2 linked regions of the Saccharomyces cerevisiae S288C genome follow. Each later gene encodes a partner of the first gene's protein in a complex. Each region holds a gene or a part of one and is shown on either strand. Other genes may lie near its edges. A codon is read from its position in the direction of its gene.

What was found.
Region 2: the proteins of FIS1 (region 1) and CAF4 are in contact, whole or in part, in a crystal structure (PDB 2PQR), measured with the Saccharomyces cerevisiae proteins. Residues at the interface, in NP_012199.3 of Saccharomyces cerevisiae: Phe6 (codon at 5,121), Trp7 (codon at 5,118), Pro8 (codon at 5,115), Asp12 (codon at 5,103), Leu17 (codon at 5,088), Gln21 (codon at 5,076), Ile24 (codon at 5,067), Leu25 (codon at 5,064), Ile39 (codon at 5,022), Gln40 (codon at 5,019), Phe43 (codon at 5,010), Asn44 (codon at 5,007), Trp47 (codon at 4,998), Gly48 (codon at 4,995), Lys51 (codon at 4,986), Arg59 (codon at 4,962), Val62 (codon at 4,953), Lys63 (codon at 4,950), Thr66 (codon at 4,941), Ile68 (codon at 4,935), Tyr69 (codon at 4,932), Lys70 (codon at 4,929), Glu73 (codon at 4,920), Ser74 (codon at 4,917), Arg75 (codon at 4,914), Arg76 (codon at 4,911), Arg77 (codon at 4,908), Glu78 (codon at 4,905), Leu80 (codon at 4,899), Tyr82 (codon at 4,893); in NP_012962.3 of Saccharomyces cerevisiae: Ser81 (codon at 1,376), Ala82 (codon at 1,373), Phe85 (codon at 1,364), Arg86 (codon at 1,361), Leu88 (codon at 1,355), Ala89 (codon at 1,352), His90 (codon at 1,349), Leu91 (codon at 1,346), Glu93 (codon at 1,340), Tyr96 (codon at 1,331), Pro97 (codon at 1,328), Leu98 (codon at 1,325), Pro99 (codon at 1,322), Glu104 (codon at 1,307), Leu107 (codon at 1,298), Pro108 (codon at 1,295), Ser109 (codon at 1,292), Leu110 (codon at 1,289), Phe111 (codon at 1,286), Glu112 (codon at 1,283), Gly113 (codon at 1,280), Phe114 (codon at 1,277), Lys115 (codon at 1,274), Thr117 (codon at 1,268), Val118 (codon at 1,265), Ile121 (codon at 1,256), Gln122 (codon at 1,253), Arg124 (codon at 1,247).

The regions. Positions count from the first base shown.
Region 1 is NC_001141.2:236,640-246,817, forward strand, and holds FIS1 (Fis1p), read right to left. Parts: upstream 5,137-10,178; coding exon 4,669-5,136; downstream 1-4,668. Other genes in the region: YIL067C (uncharacterized protein), read right to left, coding at 1-1,121; ribonucleotide-diphosphate reductase subunit RNR3, read right to left, coding at 1,460-4,069; EFM4 (Efm4p), read left to right, coding at 5,388-6,077; YRB2 (Yrb2p), read right to left, coding at 6,122-7,105; ARC15 (Arc15p), read right to left, coding at 7,359-7,823; U1 snRNP complex subunit SNP1, read right to left, coding at 8,018-8,920; YIL060W (uncharacterized protein), read left to right, coding at 9,753-10,178; YIL059C (uncharacterized protein), read right to left, coding at 9,911-10,178. UniProt on the Saccharomyces cerevisiae protein: Has a role in mitochondrial fission. Has a role in outer membrane fission but not matrix separation. Required for targeting MDV1 to the mitochondria.
Region 2 is NC_001143.9:509,018-512,617, forward strand, and holds the start of CAF4 (Caf4p), read right to left. Parts: upstream 1,617-3,600; coding exon 1-1,616. Other genes in the region: SPC34 (Spc34p), read right to left, coding at 1,893-2,780; KAE1 (tRNA N6-adenosine threonylcarbamoyltransferase), read right to left, coding at 2,982-3,600. UniProt on the Saccharomyces cerevisiae protein: Involved in mitochondrial fission. Has a partially redundant function to MDV1 in acting as an adapter protein, binding to FIS1 on the mitochondrial outer membrane and recruiting the dynamin-like GTPase DNM1 to form mitochondrial fission complexes.

The DNA of each region.
Region 1 (10,178 bases):
CTGAAAAGCTCATACACGCTAGCTGGGTCATGTGCATCCGTTAGTAATGGAGGGTCTAGAGATAATACAAGAGTCCAATAGCCCACTATCGTGTTTATCCAGTACCCGTAAATACTGTCATACAAATAAAATATTGGCAGTCCAAAAAGCATATTCAATGCGACCACAGCTGCTCGAGGATCATAACAGCCCGACAGGATACCGCCTTGTATATCTCTGAATGAATATGAACCGGGAAAAAATGAATTGAATGCTACTGAAAACCCAGTGTTATACATTCCTTTTTTTGATGGAAAAGAATTTTGGGCCCCTTGCATAGAAACTTTGGTACAGCCACCGTAAAATGGTGAGATAACACCTGCATGTACTGCAGAGGCGCATGGAAACGAGTCACTTCTATAAGGGTAGGACACGACCATCGGGTCTTCTTCGCTAAACAGGGCACCTCCGCCAATTTCATACCCTGTATATTTGACTCTCCTATTCCCTACGGCAATGGCGGAGTATGTCCATCCACCTCTATCACACAGTGCTGGACATCTGATCATGTATTCTTTATTATCAAGTGGACCGCAGTTTTTAGCATTTAAACCACATTCGTTATTGGTACCCTCCCAGTTCAAGTAGGAATTGCAACTTAAAGACAATATAGGAATCTTTTCTGAGCCATCATTTGGATGGAAGTATGGCGGCTTGATAAGATAGGGGTATATGAGAGAATAAAAAATGCGCATCCAAAAGCAGCAGTACACAATCAGTAGCAACAGTCGTATCAACTTACTTGGTATTTTAGTTTTGAATGTAGTCTGCGGAAAATCATCTATCTTCTTCAGCCATCCCCAACGTTTAGGAAAGCTAGGCGGTTCGTCACTTGGCTCAACAGGGCCATTCCAAACTCTTTCAATAAACTTTTGTATAGGATGTTTCCTTTTTAATAGTAACCATTTTGACTTACTGTTTTCTCTCCCTTCTTCATCAAGCATACTTTCCATGTCTGTATTGGAAAAGTTCTGCAGTTGTATAGACTCAGTCACACGGTGCTGTCCATCGCAATCACTTGAAACGCCAGGGTCTGTGGCTTCCCACGTTGTGTTAGCATTATCATCAAAATGCACACCCATTCAATTCAATGCTAAATGGTCTATCTCTCACAAGTCTAATACTGGTTGAATTGTGCCTTAGTTATTTATATAATTGAATGTATTTTGCGATTTTACACTCTTTACGGTATTTAGCTGTTTTCTTCTACACCCCAGAGTAATTTTTTTGCGACGGTAAATCTGGAAAATAATCATAGAATACAATGAGAAAGAATGTAAAAGAAATAATTTTATTAGCGTACATGATTGTGTATATGTTTTGTTTAAAAAAGTTTATTTAAAAAAGGTCTTAATACATACTAACGAAAAGAAACCGCTCCAAGTTAGATAAGGAAAGGGAAAAATGCCACCAGAAAGAATCAACCGGAACATGACTCACAAGCTTCTGGAGTAGGAGCAGTACAAGCAATCACCTTTTCATTGTAAATGTCACATTTCTTCTCGTCGGAATCTTCTTTTATTGTTTCCGTTGGAACTGCTGGGGCAACACTATCTTCCAATTTCACATTTGACATGGCACTCGACACCGATGATTGTTCGGATGGAACTGGAGATGCATCCTTCTCATTATCTGAGCTTTCGGTAAGCGCAGATGCCGCCTTTTGTTCAGAGAATTTTGTACCCTTTGGAACATAAACTGGACGATCCAATTCTGAGACGGAAGCAATATGTGTAGCGGCTTGATCGGCAACCTCTTGATCAATGGTAAATTGAATAGCAGCGGAGGCGGCTTGCGTTCTTAAGTAGTACATACCAGTTTTTAAACCCTTCTTCCAACCGTAGAAATGCATACTAGTAATCTTACCCATTGATGGTGCTTGCAAGAAAAGATTCAAGGAATGAGACTGATCGATGTAGATGGCACGATCAGCAGCCATATTGATAATGGTCTTTTGAGAGATTTCCCAGACGGTTTTGTATAATTCCTTCAATTCTTGTGGCACATTTGGTAAGCCTTGAATAGAACCATTTTGTGTAATTAGATATTGTTTCATACTATCATCCCAAATACCCAGGTCGACTAAATCACGTAGTAAATATGGATTAACAACTTGGAATTCACCAGACAGGACACGACGAGAGTACATGTTTGAGGTCACTGGTTCGAAGCATTCATTATAACCAAGAATTTGGGAAGTTGAGGCGGTTGGCATTGGTGCCATAGTCAAAGAGTTTCTTAACCCATGTTTAACAATGTCCTTTCTTAAGGTTTCCCAATCCCACATGCCAAATGGTTTAGCGTTCCACATATCGAATTGTAAAATACCCTTAGAAGCTGGAGAACCTTCAAAAGTAGAATATTTACCTTCTTTTTGGGCCAATTCACAGGAGGCTTCAAGAGTAGCATGGTAAATAGTTTCGAAGATTTGTTTGTTTAGAGTTTGAGCTTCTTCCGATTCAAAGGGTAGACGCAACATCATATAAGTATCGGCCAAACCCTGGACACCAAGAGCAATAGGTCTATGCTTCATATTTGAATTTCTAGCCTCGGGAACTGGATAGTAATTACGGTCGATAACTCTGTTCAAGTTGTGAGTAATGACTTTAGCAATCTCGTGTAATCTCTCGAAATTATAGCTTGCAGTTTTACCATCTTCTGAAACCTCAACGAATGCTGGTAGGGCAATAGAAGCTAAATTACAAACTGCAGTTTCATCCGGGGAGGAATATTCGACGATTTCACAACATAAATTAGATGATTTGATAGTACCTAAGTTCTGTTGGTTTGTCTTCCTGTTACATGCGTCCTTATAAACCATGAAAGGTGTACCTGTTTCTGTCTGTGCTTGCAAAATGGCATACCACAACTTTTGGGCTTTAATTGTTTTACCACGACCTTCTCTTTCGTAACGAGTATATAGTTCTTCAAATTCATCACCCCACACATCATCTAAACCTGGGGCAGCACTGGGCGAAAACAAAGTCCAAGGCCCATCCTCTTGAACACGTTTCATGAAAAGATCAGGGATCCATAGAGCAGGGAACAAATCTCTTGCACGAATTTCTTCCTTACCATGTGTTTTTCTGATATCGACAAAGTCGAAGATATCTGCATGCCATGGCTCCAAGAAAAGGGCGAAAGCACCAGGTCTCTTGTTACCACCCTGGTCCACATAACGGGCAGTATTATTGAAAACACGAATCATAGGAATCAACCCGTTTGAAGTACCGTTGGTACCAGCGATATAAGAACCTGTGGAACGGATGTTGTTGATATGAAGACCAACACCACCTGCAGTTTTGGAAATCATAGCACATTCTTTCAAAGTATCATAAATACCTTCGATAGAGTCATCCTTCATGGCAATTAAGAAACATGAAGACATTTGAGGATGTGGCGTACCAGCGTTGAATAAAGTTGGGGAAGCGTGAGTGAAGTATCTTAACGACATCAAATTATAAGTCTTCAGCACAGATTCGATATCGCTACCATGGATACCTAGCGCCACACGCATTACCAAATGCTGAGGACGTTCTGCCACTTCACCGTTCAGTCTTAGCAAGTACGAACGCTCCAGTGTCTTGAATCCGAAATACGTATACTGGAAATCCCTATCGTACACGATGGCCGAGTTCAAAGTATCTTTGTTTTCCATGACAATGTTGTAAATTTCGTCCGAAATCATAGGAGCATGCTTTCCAGTAGCTGGGTTAATCCAGTCGTGTAAATCCTCAATAACTTTGGAGAATTGCTTTGTGGTTTGCTTATGTAAGTTAGAGATGGCGATTCTAGCGGCTAGAGTGGCATAATCAGGGTGCACAGTGGTCATGTATGCACATGTTTCAGCTGCAAGATTGTCCAGCTCAACGGTAGTAACACCGGAGTACACACCAGAAATAATACGTTGGGTTACCTTAACAGCATCAATACGGTTTGGGTCTAAACCGTATGACAAACGGGTGATACGGGAGGTAATTTTATCGAATTGAACGGGCTCTTTGCGGCCGTCTCTTTTAATAACGTACATTTGTGTGGGAGTATTTGATTTATTGCTGCTGCTATTCTTGCTTGTCATATTTATTTCAACTTGGATATGAGATGAGAGAAAGGCAAGGAAGAAGGCAAAAGAAGGCAAAATAGCAGTGCGTTTATATACGTTTTGCAGCAGAACACGAAACAATATAAAGAACGCTGACACGAAAAACGAAACGCGTCAGCATCTCACAATACAGTATTACGATTTAACAATAGACTATTGTTTTTTTCCCATCTTGTCGTTTGGTCCTCGCCATGGCAACCGGGTTTTTGCCCCTTTGAGCAGCGCCTAGGTGTCGTTGCTGCGACAACCACGAAAAAAAAAAAAAAAAAAAAACAAAAGAACAACGGCACGCAATGTTGCTGTGACAACCGTAGGCAGATAACTTGGCTTTTTTTACTACTTTAGGAAAATTAGCAGCCAAGAACGAGGGCTTGCTCTGCTACCTAGTTCAAACTGAAACAAGCCTTCACTTTCTTTTCTTTTCTTTTTTTTTTTATCTAACAACTGAAGATTAAATGATAAATGTTTACGCGTGCGTGCGATTCATTCTTATGTATGTACGTATGTGCTGATTTTTTATGTGCTTGTTACCTTCTCTTGTTTCTTAAGAAGAAACTAGCCACGGCCACAGCGCCGGCTAGTACGCCTCCAGCGACGACAACACCCTTGAGTGTTTCCTTCTGGATCTTATCCTCTACCATACTCTTCAAAGCGCCCACCTGCTTGTTATTACGCTCATGCTCAAATAAAGTGTCTACATATCTCTTCGCCATAGAGTATTCACCGAGTTTGTAGCAACCTATGGTCAGATAATATAGGCATTCTCGTCTACGGGACTCGGCCTCTTTGTAAATGTCTGTGAGGATTTTCACACCAAGCCTTTCGTCATTCACGTCAGTGGATTTGATCAGCCCCCATGCGTAGTTAAACCTTGACTGTATGGTAGCGGTGGGCCCCCCCTCGGAGACGACTTGCTGGCGCAGAATCTCCAGCTGCTGCGGATAGAGTGGTTCGTATGCGTCCTTAAGAGTTGGCCAAAAATCTACTTTGGTCATACTTATGTTGTATGGCTGTGCTCTGATCTGTGCTTCTATGTGCCGTTTTTACGCAAGGTATATGATAACTTCTGTGCAGAATAGTGGCAATGGCAGCTTTGCTTTGAAAGGGGTCCAGCCTAGCCCGCTTGCGGTGTTCCGGCATAAATGCGCAAAAAGATTGGTTCATGAAAAGAAGTGAAAAAAAATCGATGAGCTCAGCTCTTAAGAACGGTATTATGGAACGAACTCAACCCGAAAAGGTAGTACAGATGCAGGGCACGGCAGATTTGAGCACTTCGAAACTTGGTACGAAAAAATACTGGGATGAACTGTATGCCCTGGAGCTGGAGAATTTCAGGCGGAATCCGCAGGATACCGGGGACTGTTGGTTTAGCGATAGCGATGCTGAACAAAAGATGATTGATTTTCTGGTAGATAACATTGGTGCGTACAGAATTTCTGAGAATGCTTCTGTTGTAGACCTCGGTACAGGTAATGGACACATGTTATTTGAACTGCATCAAACGGAATTCCAAGGGAAACTGGTCGGGATAGACTATTCTGAGGAAAGCGTCAAACTCGCTAGTAATATAGCCGAGGCCACCGGTGTTGACAATTTCATCAGTTTCCAGCAAGCAGACATCTTTAGTGGTGACTGGAAGCCGGGAAAGTATGACATTGTGTTGGATAAAGGGACCCTAGATGCCATTTCATTGAGTGGCATGAAGATCAACGGTAAACTTGATGTAGTCGATGTATACGCCGGAGTAGTGGAAAGGATTTTGAAAAAAGACGGTATTTTCTTGATCACTTCTTGTAATTTCACACAAGATGAACTAGTAAAGATCATAGAGACTGATAATTTGAAAATGTGGAAAACAATAAAATACCCTGTTTTCCAATTTGGCGGGGTCCAGGGTGCGACCATATGTAGTGTAGCATTTGTTAAACAAAACTGATTTGTTTTTATCTTTGATTTATTTTTAACGTTATTTCTCTTTACTTATTTAGGAACGGATTTAACTATAATGTTATACAATTCATCCGTGGTTTCCTTCTTACCAGTCTTTATGGCGTACTGTGCAGGATCACCGTTATCATCTACTGCTAGTAATCTTATGAATTTTTCGCTTTGCAAAGAACCTGTAAATCCTTTTTGCACAGTGAACCCCTTGACCAGTTGGATGTTTAAAATGACTTTTAAGATACCACGAGACCTCATAACAATACGCGTCTTCTCGACGTCGTCCTTACTTTTATTGATTTTGATGATACCAACACCTCTTTCCTTCCAGCCTTCTTTTATGTTGGAAAGTTGGTACAGCTTCGCATTGACTTGATATATGCACTCCTCAGACTCTTCACCAGACTTGACTTCCTGTTTCTGCAATTTGAGGGGTTTTGGTTTGTCTTTTGTATCTTCTGAGGCATTCGCTAGTTGTTCAGATCCACTATGGACTTTATCTTTGTCAACATCAGTAGCTTTCTTTTCACTTTCAGAGTTATTTTCTGTTTTGTTTTTCAGTATGTTGAAGCCGCTGCCAAATGATAAACCTGAACCAAATGCAAATGGCTTCTTTGTTTTGCTGTCAGAGGCTGGTAAACTTTCAGTACTGGTAGTTGCATCTCCATCTTTCGTGTCCTTTTTGGCAACACCAAACCCAGTTCCAAATTTAGATGCGGCACCAAACACGAATTTATCCTCCTTTTTGTCATCTTCCACAATACCAGATTCTACGGTCTTTCCGTCGTCAACCTTGATCTTCTTATGCGATGGTTCTTGGTCTTTTTTACCTTCCTCCTTTTTCTCCTCATCATTTTTATTGGGTGCTTCTGATTTGTCACTCGTTTCTTCCGCTTGTTCATCCTGATCTTTTTCCCTCGGTCTCTTAGGAGTTCCATCTAGTTTATCGATAGGATTTTCAACTGCAGTTTGTTTCACCTCAGAATTTTCCCTGGCTGCATTGCCACCATTGGTCTCACTCATGCTCTCAAAGTTTATGCGTACTTGTTTTGTGCAAATTGATTTGTTGACATTTTGGTTTGAGTAGCAACTGAGCTTTTTAAAATCCAGGCATTTATATCTTCAACCTCGCCAAACAATGTCAATTTTTTTAAAAAAAAACTCAATACCTACATCACCGCGAAATGCCTGAAGTAAAAGCATATAACAAACGCGACCCTTAAAATTACGTATATATATGTATATTTCTTTATACTAAGTTTTACTGGGCAGAGTATCATACAGTTCTTCTATCCGATATATAATGAACGATAGGTGTGACACCACTGACTTGAGTAATTCTTTCCAGCCACGCAAGCAAGACACCCCCTTGTTTCTGGCCCTGAGGTACGGACATTCCTTTGTAGAGATACTTTACCAGCACGTCCCTCTGAGAATCACTCAAATTTTTGATTACATTACCAATATCGGCTTGCCTGACTTGTGTCAATGCTTCAAGGACGCTCTTAAAATATTGCTCCTTTGTTGGAGCATCTGCACTGTATGGAGGATCGGTTGTGAGTAATTGAACGGCTCCCAAAGAGTCACCACTTGTGGCAAGCGAGCGCAATTGATTCATTCGAGGTTGTAATTCTTGTAATGTGACAGTAGTTTCGTATGGTGGTACCAGATCGGCAGCGGTTAGTCTGCCACTCTCTGGATCAAATGCATCGATGTCAATTCTCCTCCAATCGGCTTCCATTGCTTGATCGTTCGCGTGTGTTGTGTTGAGTCTTCTCTGGTCTCCTTTGCTATAGTATCTTGTGTTAAATGCGGGCTGTTTTTCTCTTATTTTGTTATAGGGGCAAAGTCTGAGAAAGGGAAAAAAGTATCCAAATTAACTGATGTGCGGGTAATCATAGACAACAAGTAGCAGAGTTTAAGTATTACTTATATTCAATAGTCGGGCGCTTCTTTGGGAGCTGGTTGAGACTCTCGAGTCCGTGAGTTTCTAGATTTATATACAGAAGTAACAGCAGCAGTAGGAGTGGCGGCGGAGAGCAATGGCCTGTTTCCACGGTACCTCGCGTCCAATGTGGAACTGCCGTATCTATCAGCGCTATATGCGGAGGAAGAAGTTTCCCTGCGTGGCAGCCTGGGAGCATAATTTCTTTCGGCGGGATTTGATGTACTTGCGCTTGCAAACCTTCCTGGAAGCCTGCTGTCTCTGTTGGAATAGCCTCTGCCTCCTAGGCCGCCGCCCAATCTTCTTGGCTTGAAATATTTAACGGTTCTGCCTCTTTCTATGTCGACTATGCAGATTCTGTCTTTGATTTGGATACCTCTGTGTACTCCAATCTCCTTGAATGCCATTTTACTACTTATTGGGTCTTTGAAAACTATGAAGGCGTAGCCTTTACTCTTCTGGGTTATCTTGTCCTTGACTATCCTAATTTTTTCGATCTCGCCAAACTTAACAAAATACTTTTGCAGTTCAATTTCGTCAAGATCGTATGGTAGCCTCCCAATAAATATCGTTCTGTAGGGATCTGTGTCCTTGATATGAGGGTCAACGTTAGGATTCCAATTTTGTAGTCTCCGGTCTAACAATTGAGCATTTTTGATCTTGGAAAGTTTGATGTCTTCGTATCTTTGGAGATGGTTGTTTGGAGATCCTTCAGGAAACTCCTCCATATAGTGCTTCAAAGAGGTTGATAGTAAGTTTGCAACGCCAGTGATATTTGGATTTGTTTGTCTCTTCGCATATGGGTAATCGGTTGGTCTTTTGTAAGATAAAGGTGGCCTTGGCTTGAAAAGTCTCGACACGTCGTCTGGATACTTGGATAGATTATAATTCATCAAGGTTGAGGTGCCGATTACTTTTTTAAGGTTTCCTTTCGACAGTCGATGACCGTGCTGTGTGTCATTATCTTGCAGTTCTTTTTTTCTTCAGATGCGTTAATTTCCTACGAAGGGCGCATACAATGGTGCTGATGGGATTTATGAGCAAAACAAGTAGGCGAGCAAGACATGAACGAAATTGTAATGAAGCGTACTTCCTTTTCCCTACAACCTTAAAAAGGTCTCACTGATATATCCATTCGCAATAATGACAAGATTTTTGCATGGGACTTCTTTTTTTCTTTTGAATAAGTCGCGTTATAAGGACAAAACATTAAAAAAAAATATGTATTGATTCACTGATTTATATATACAGAAGTAAGTACCGGGGTACCTAAATATACGCATAAAAGTCTCTTTCTTTTTTTTTTTTTTTTTTTTAGCTTCCTACATTTCGTTAATAATATTATATAGATTATATTTATATTTAAGAAAAGTAATATCAGCATATTATGAATAGACAAAAAAGTCTAAGGTCAAGATTTATTAAATGTTAGATTATTAAGATTACAATTAACAACATTTGTTGTTACTTCATAAAATTTCGTTACTTCATAAAAGAACTACAGTCCCCCACTTCTAAATGAGTGGTTGTAGGGGTTCATATACCTCCCATACTGTTGGAATAAAAATCAACTATCATCTACTAACTAGTATTTACGTTACTAGTATATTATCATATACGGTGTTAGAAGATGACGCAAATGATGAGAAATAGTCATCTAAATTAGTGGAAGCTGAAACGCAAGGATTGATAATGTAATAGGATCAATGAATATTAACATATAAAATGATGATAATAATATTTATAGAATTGTGTAGAATTGCAGATTCCCTTTTATGGATTCCTAAATCCTCGAGGAGAACTTCTAGTACATTCTACATACCTAATATTATTGCCTTATTAAAAATGGAATCCCAACAATTATCTCAAAATTCACCAACTCTTCACATACATACCTGCGGTAGCAAGATAGGTACACTTTTTCTACGTTTCACGAAGGTAGCGATAGGTACCTCACTCATTGTAGGTGCGGGGGTAGCGATGGAGGTTTCTGTACCATTACCACCACAGCCACTATACTCACGTAGTGAAGTCCCTAGCGTGGAATTGTGTGGTATCGTTGCTATCTGTCGTTCGCCACCCTCGGTATATCCAACGTGCAGGCCAATATCACTCTCTAAGAAAATCGTATCAGGATTGGTACGGACAAAC
Region 2 (3,600 bases), on another chromosome or scaffold:
GAATCAAACTTCAAACTTGTAATTCCATCGGTATGGCCTTCTAGTAATCTCACCGGTTTGCCAACTCTTAGATCCCATAGTCGCACAATGCCATCTTTTGTTCCTGTTGCTAATGCAGAGTTGTAACATTGGAGGGCTCCTATCATTGGTGCTTCTGTGCCAAGTAAACATGCACCATTGTTTAATGAACGTGCAGGCATTTTAATGTCGCTATGTGTAGGTGTGAAGATAAGGTCAAGTTGCTGAATACATTTGCCCGTCGTTAAATCCCAGTGGAATATTTTTTTGTCCCTAGATCCGCTAACCAAAGCTTCAGAATCAAAAGACAGGGCTGTGATTTCGTCTTTATGTAACTCAAAATTATGGATACATGGTGTAACAATTTCTTCTGTCTTCTCCTTCAATGGACTATGGTCCAAATATATTTCTCTACTCAGATTTAAGTCCCATAACTTCAGAGTGGCATCCTTACTTCCAGTAATCAACATATTGTAATTTTTCTTATCTATTTGCATGCAATTAACAGTAGCAAGGTGACCAGGCAGCTCTCCAACTTGTATCCCATGGTTCAAATCCCACACTTTTACTATACGATCTTGGTAGCTTGATGAGCACAAGGTTCCCCATGGTGTATCAAAGTCTAATGCGGTTATGCTGTTTCCATGTTCGCCATGGGGTATTGTCATTCTGAAAGCCGTGGTATTTCGGCTATATGTTTCTGAGATAATTTGCCTGTTTTTATCGTGGCTTTTTTCATGGGGCATCTTGTAAAAATCTTTTAATCTCGTATCCTTACTTTCAACATCACATAACGACGATATGGCTTCTTCATTTTGCGTGAAGGACGACGCTTCAGATGATCTTTCTTCTTCCATTTGCTTCCGTAAGCTCTGTTCACGATCAGCTTCCAAATTGTATTCCTCGATAAAATTTATTCTATCCTTTATCAGTGTTACATCATTCTCAAGATTGGTAGACTTACTATCAATGTGCTTAACCCTTTCCAGGATTTTTAATTTCCTGGATTCTAGTTCGTTGATCATGGAATCTAATCTGGTCAACTCATCCATCTCTAACGTTTTATTGATTGACAGATTTTCCACGTTAGTTTCTACATCCTCAAGTAAATGTGTTAGGTCAATTCTAGAGTACGTTTTATTCACAAAACCAGTATTAATATCCGGCAATTGAACGTATTTTTCCTTATCACTATTCGTGGCCCCGTCTACATTGTCTAACAACAGTCTCTGTTGAATGATGGAAACGGTAGCTTTGAATCCTTCAAATAAAGAAGGTAAATTCTTTTCAGCGGCACCGTTGGGTAGCGGGTATCGCTGCTCATCTAAATGAGCAAGTATTCTGAAAGTTGTTGCAGAGTCTGCATAATTGTTTTGAAAGGAAAATATCCCTACTTGTCCTTTCTGGGTATCTTTTGTACTTTCGGGCCAAGCCACCTCTCTGAACAGTAGAAGTTTGGAAAGATATCTGTAGATGGGGCTCGTTATATATTTTTGAAATTGTTGTTGCGCTAGTATGGCATGTGGTAGCTTATTAAGTATAATTTCGATTGGTTTAGCTACCAGAGAGCTTTCTCCTCTAGTATCGCCCGAACCCATATAGAGATACTCTTTTTTACTCTCGCTCGTGGTAATCTTATATGTCATTCATGGTTAGTTTTTTTTTTATGACTATTTTTTTTTTCCATTACGATGAGGAAAGTTTATGTGAGAAACATGAAGCTACATGCTTTAACAGGAGACAGACCCATGGTGGATCCGCTCAGTTGGTTTTATACATTTAGATGTAAGGTAATACATAATTATATGATTTGCAGTGGCCTATGTATGCAATTAGGACAAAGGAAATATCTATTCTTGAGGAGAAGTGCTCCCCTACTCTTGCAAGTTGGCTATCTCCATTTCTAGCCGCCTAATTTCATCTTTTTCTTTTCGAATAATCTTAGCAACGTCGTGAGAAGAAGAAGGATGGTACTGTGACATAGTCTTTAAGCGATCATCTTGAAGCAAAACTTCTTTCTTGATGAAGCGCAATTTGGAAGAAAGTTGTTCATAATTATGGTACAATTGGTCGTAATCCTGCTTGAACTCTGTTAGTGGCCATAAATCTGTTACTTCGGCCATAACTTTAAGAATTAAATCAGTAGGGAAATCCTCGACAAAGATGGTTTTTCTTCTTTGGTTATTGGATTCTTCTTCCATGAGCACGCTTCCATTTTCCAAGGCATATAGGAGCCTTTGAATTTGCGGATCATCCTTGAACACGGCTGATAATGCTTTGAATGTACCTGAACTTGAATTTGAAATGACAGAGGATCCTATAAGATCGGTATCAAAAATAAAACCGTTCAAGCCACCGCCACTTGTAGTGGCGGTTCTTCTCCTTTTATTGTTCAAATCAAGACGATCTTTGTTCAAATATACTTCCTTGGGCACATGGATGATCGGTTTTTCCCCTGGTCTGCCCAGCCTTCTATTTCTTTTCATGTCCGTATCTCGTTTAATAACATAGTCGAATACTCCCTCCTTGCCGTCTCTACGTGAAACGGATTGTTTCTCAGGGTTGACTTTGAACAGAAGATACGCCTCGTCGTGGTTACAGTCCTTTATTAGTCTAGTAATGTCTTTTCTAATGCTTGCCTTGTTGCTTGCTCCCTGTAGGATGGCATTATGAAAAATTCCTGGTGGCTTGAAATAGAGTGTGGACATAGAGTCCACCGCCCTATTAATATCATCTATACATCTATCCAAGCTTTCCCCCATTCTGTAATTGCCACGTCTTATTTTGTTAGGTGATGATCTAATTTTTTTGAGCTTTGTTTATTGATTATTTTCAAATGTCTCTTGCTTATTTTCGCGCTTCCACAAGGTTATACACTGAGCTGTAAATGTAAGGTGTATGGCATATATAAATATATATATATATTCGTAGTGTGAACATTAGGCTAACTGTAACAAAAATCGTTAATCACGCCAGGCTGCGTATACTTCATCGGTTCTGAATTTCTGCGTAACAACAGTTTCAGAAAAGTCCTTCACGATCCCACCCATTCTATACTCTAGTAGTCCTGCTTGGGCAATCATAACTCCGTTATCGATACAAAACCTATTATCTGTAGCATGTACTTGCCCATTGGCCCTGTCTTTACACATTTGCGCCATCATTTCTTGTAATCGCACGTTACAACCAACACCGCCTACGATCAAAACTTGATTGGAGTTAACGTGAGCCATAGCTCTTTCTGTTATTTCAACTAGCATGGCGAATAGGTTCTCTTGCAGAGAGTAGCAAAGATCCTCTACAGTGACTTTTTGCTCGCCCGTTGTCTTGTCGAATAGGATCTTATTTTTCTTATTGCCCTTAAATAGATCCTTGGCAAGTAAATCGATGGAAGCCAATATACCACTCATCGAAAGATCCATCCCCTTTACTGTATAGGGAAGTTCTACCAAGTTTTCTTTGTGAGGGGCTTTTTTAGCTAACTGCTCGATGTTGTAGCCAGGCGAGGGCTCATTAGGTATCTTCAGAGTTCTTGCAAATCTATCAAGACAATTACCGATAGCAATATCAAGCGTTTCACCA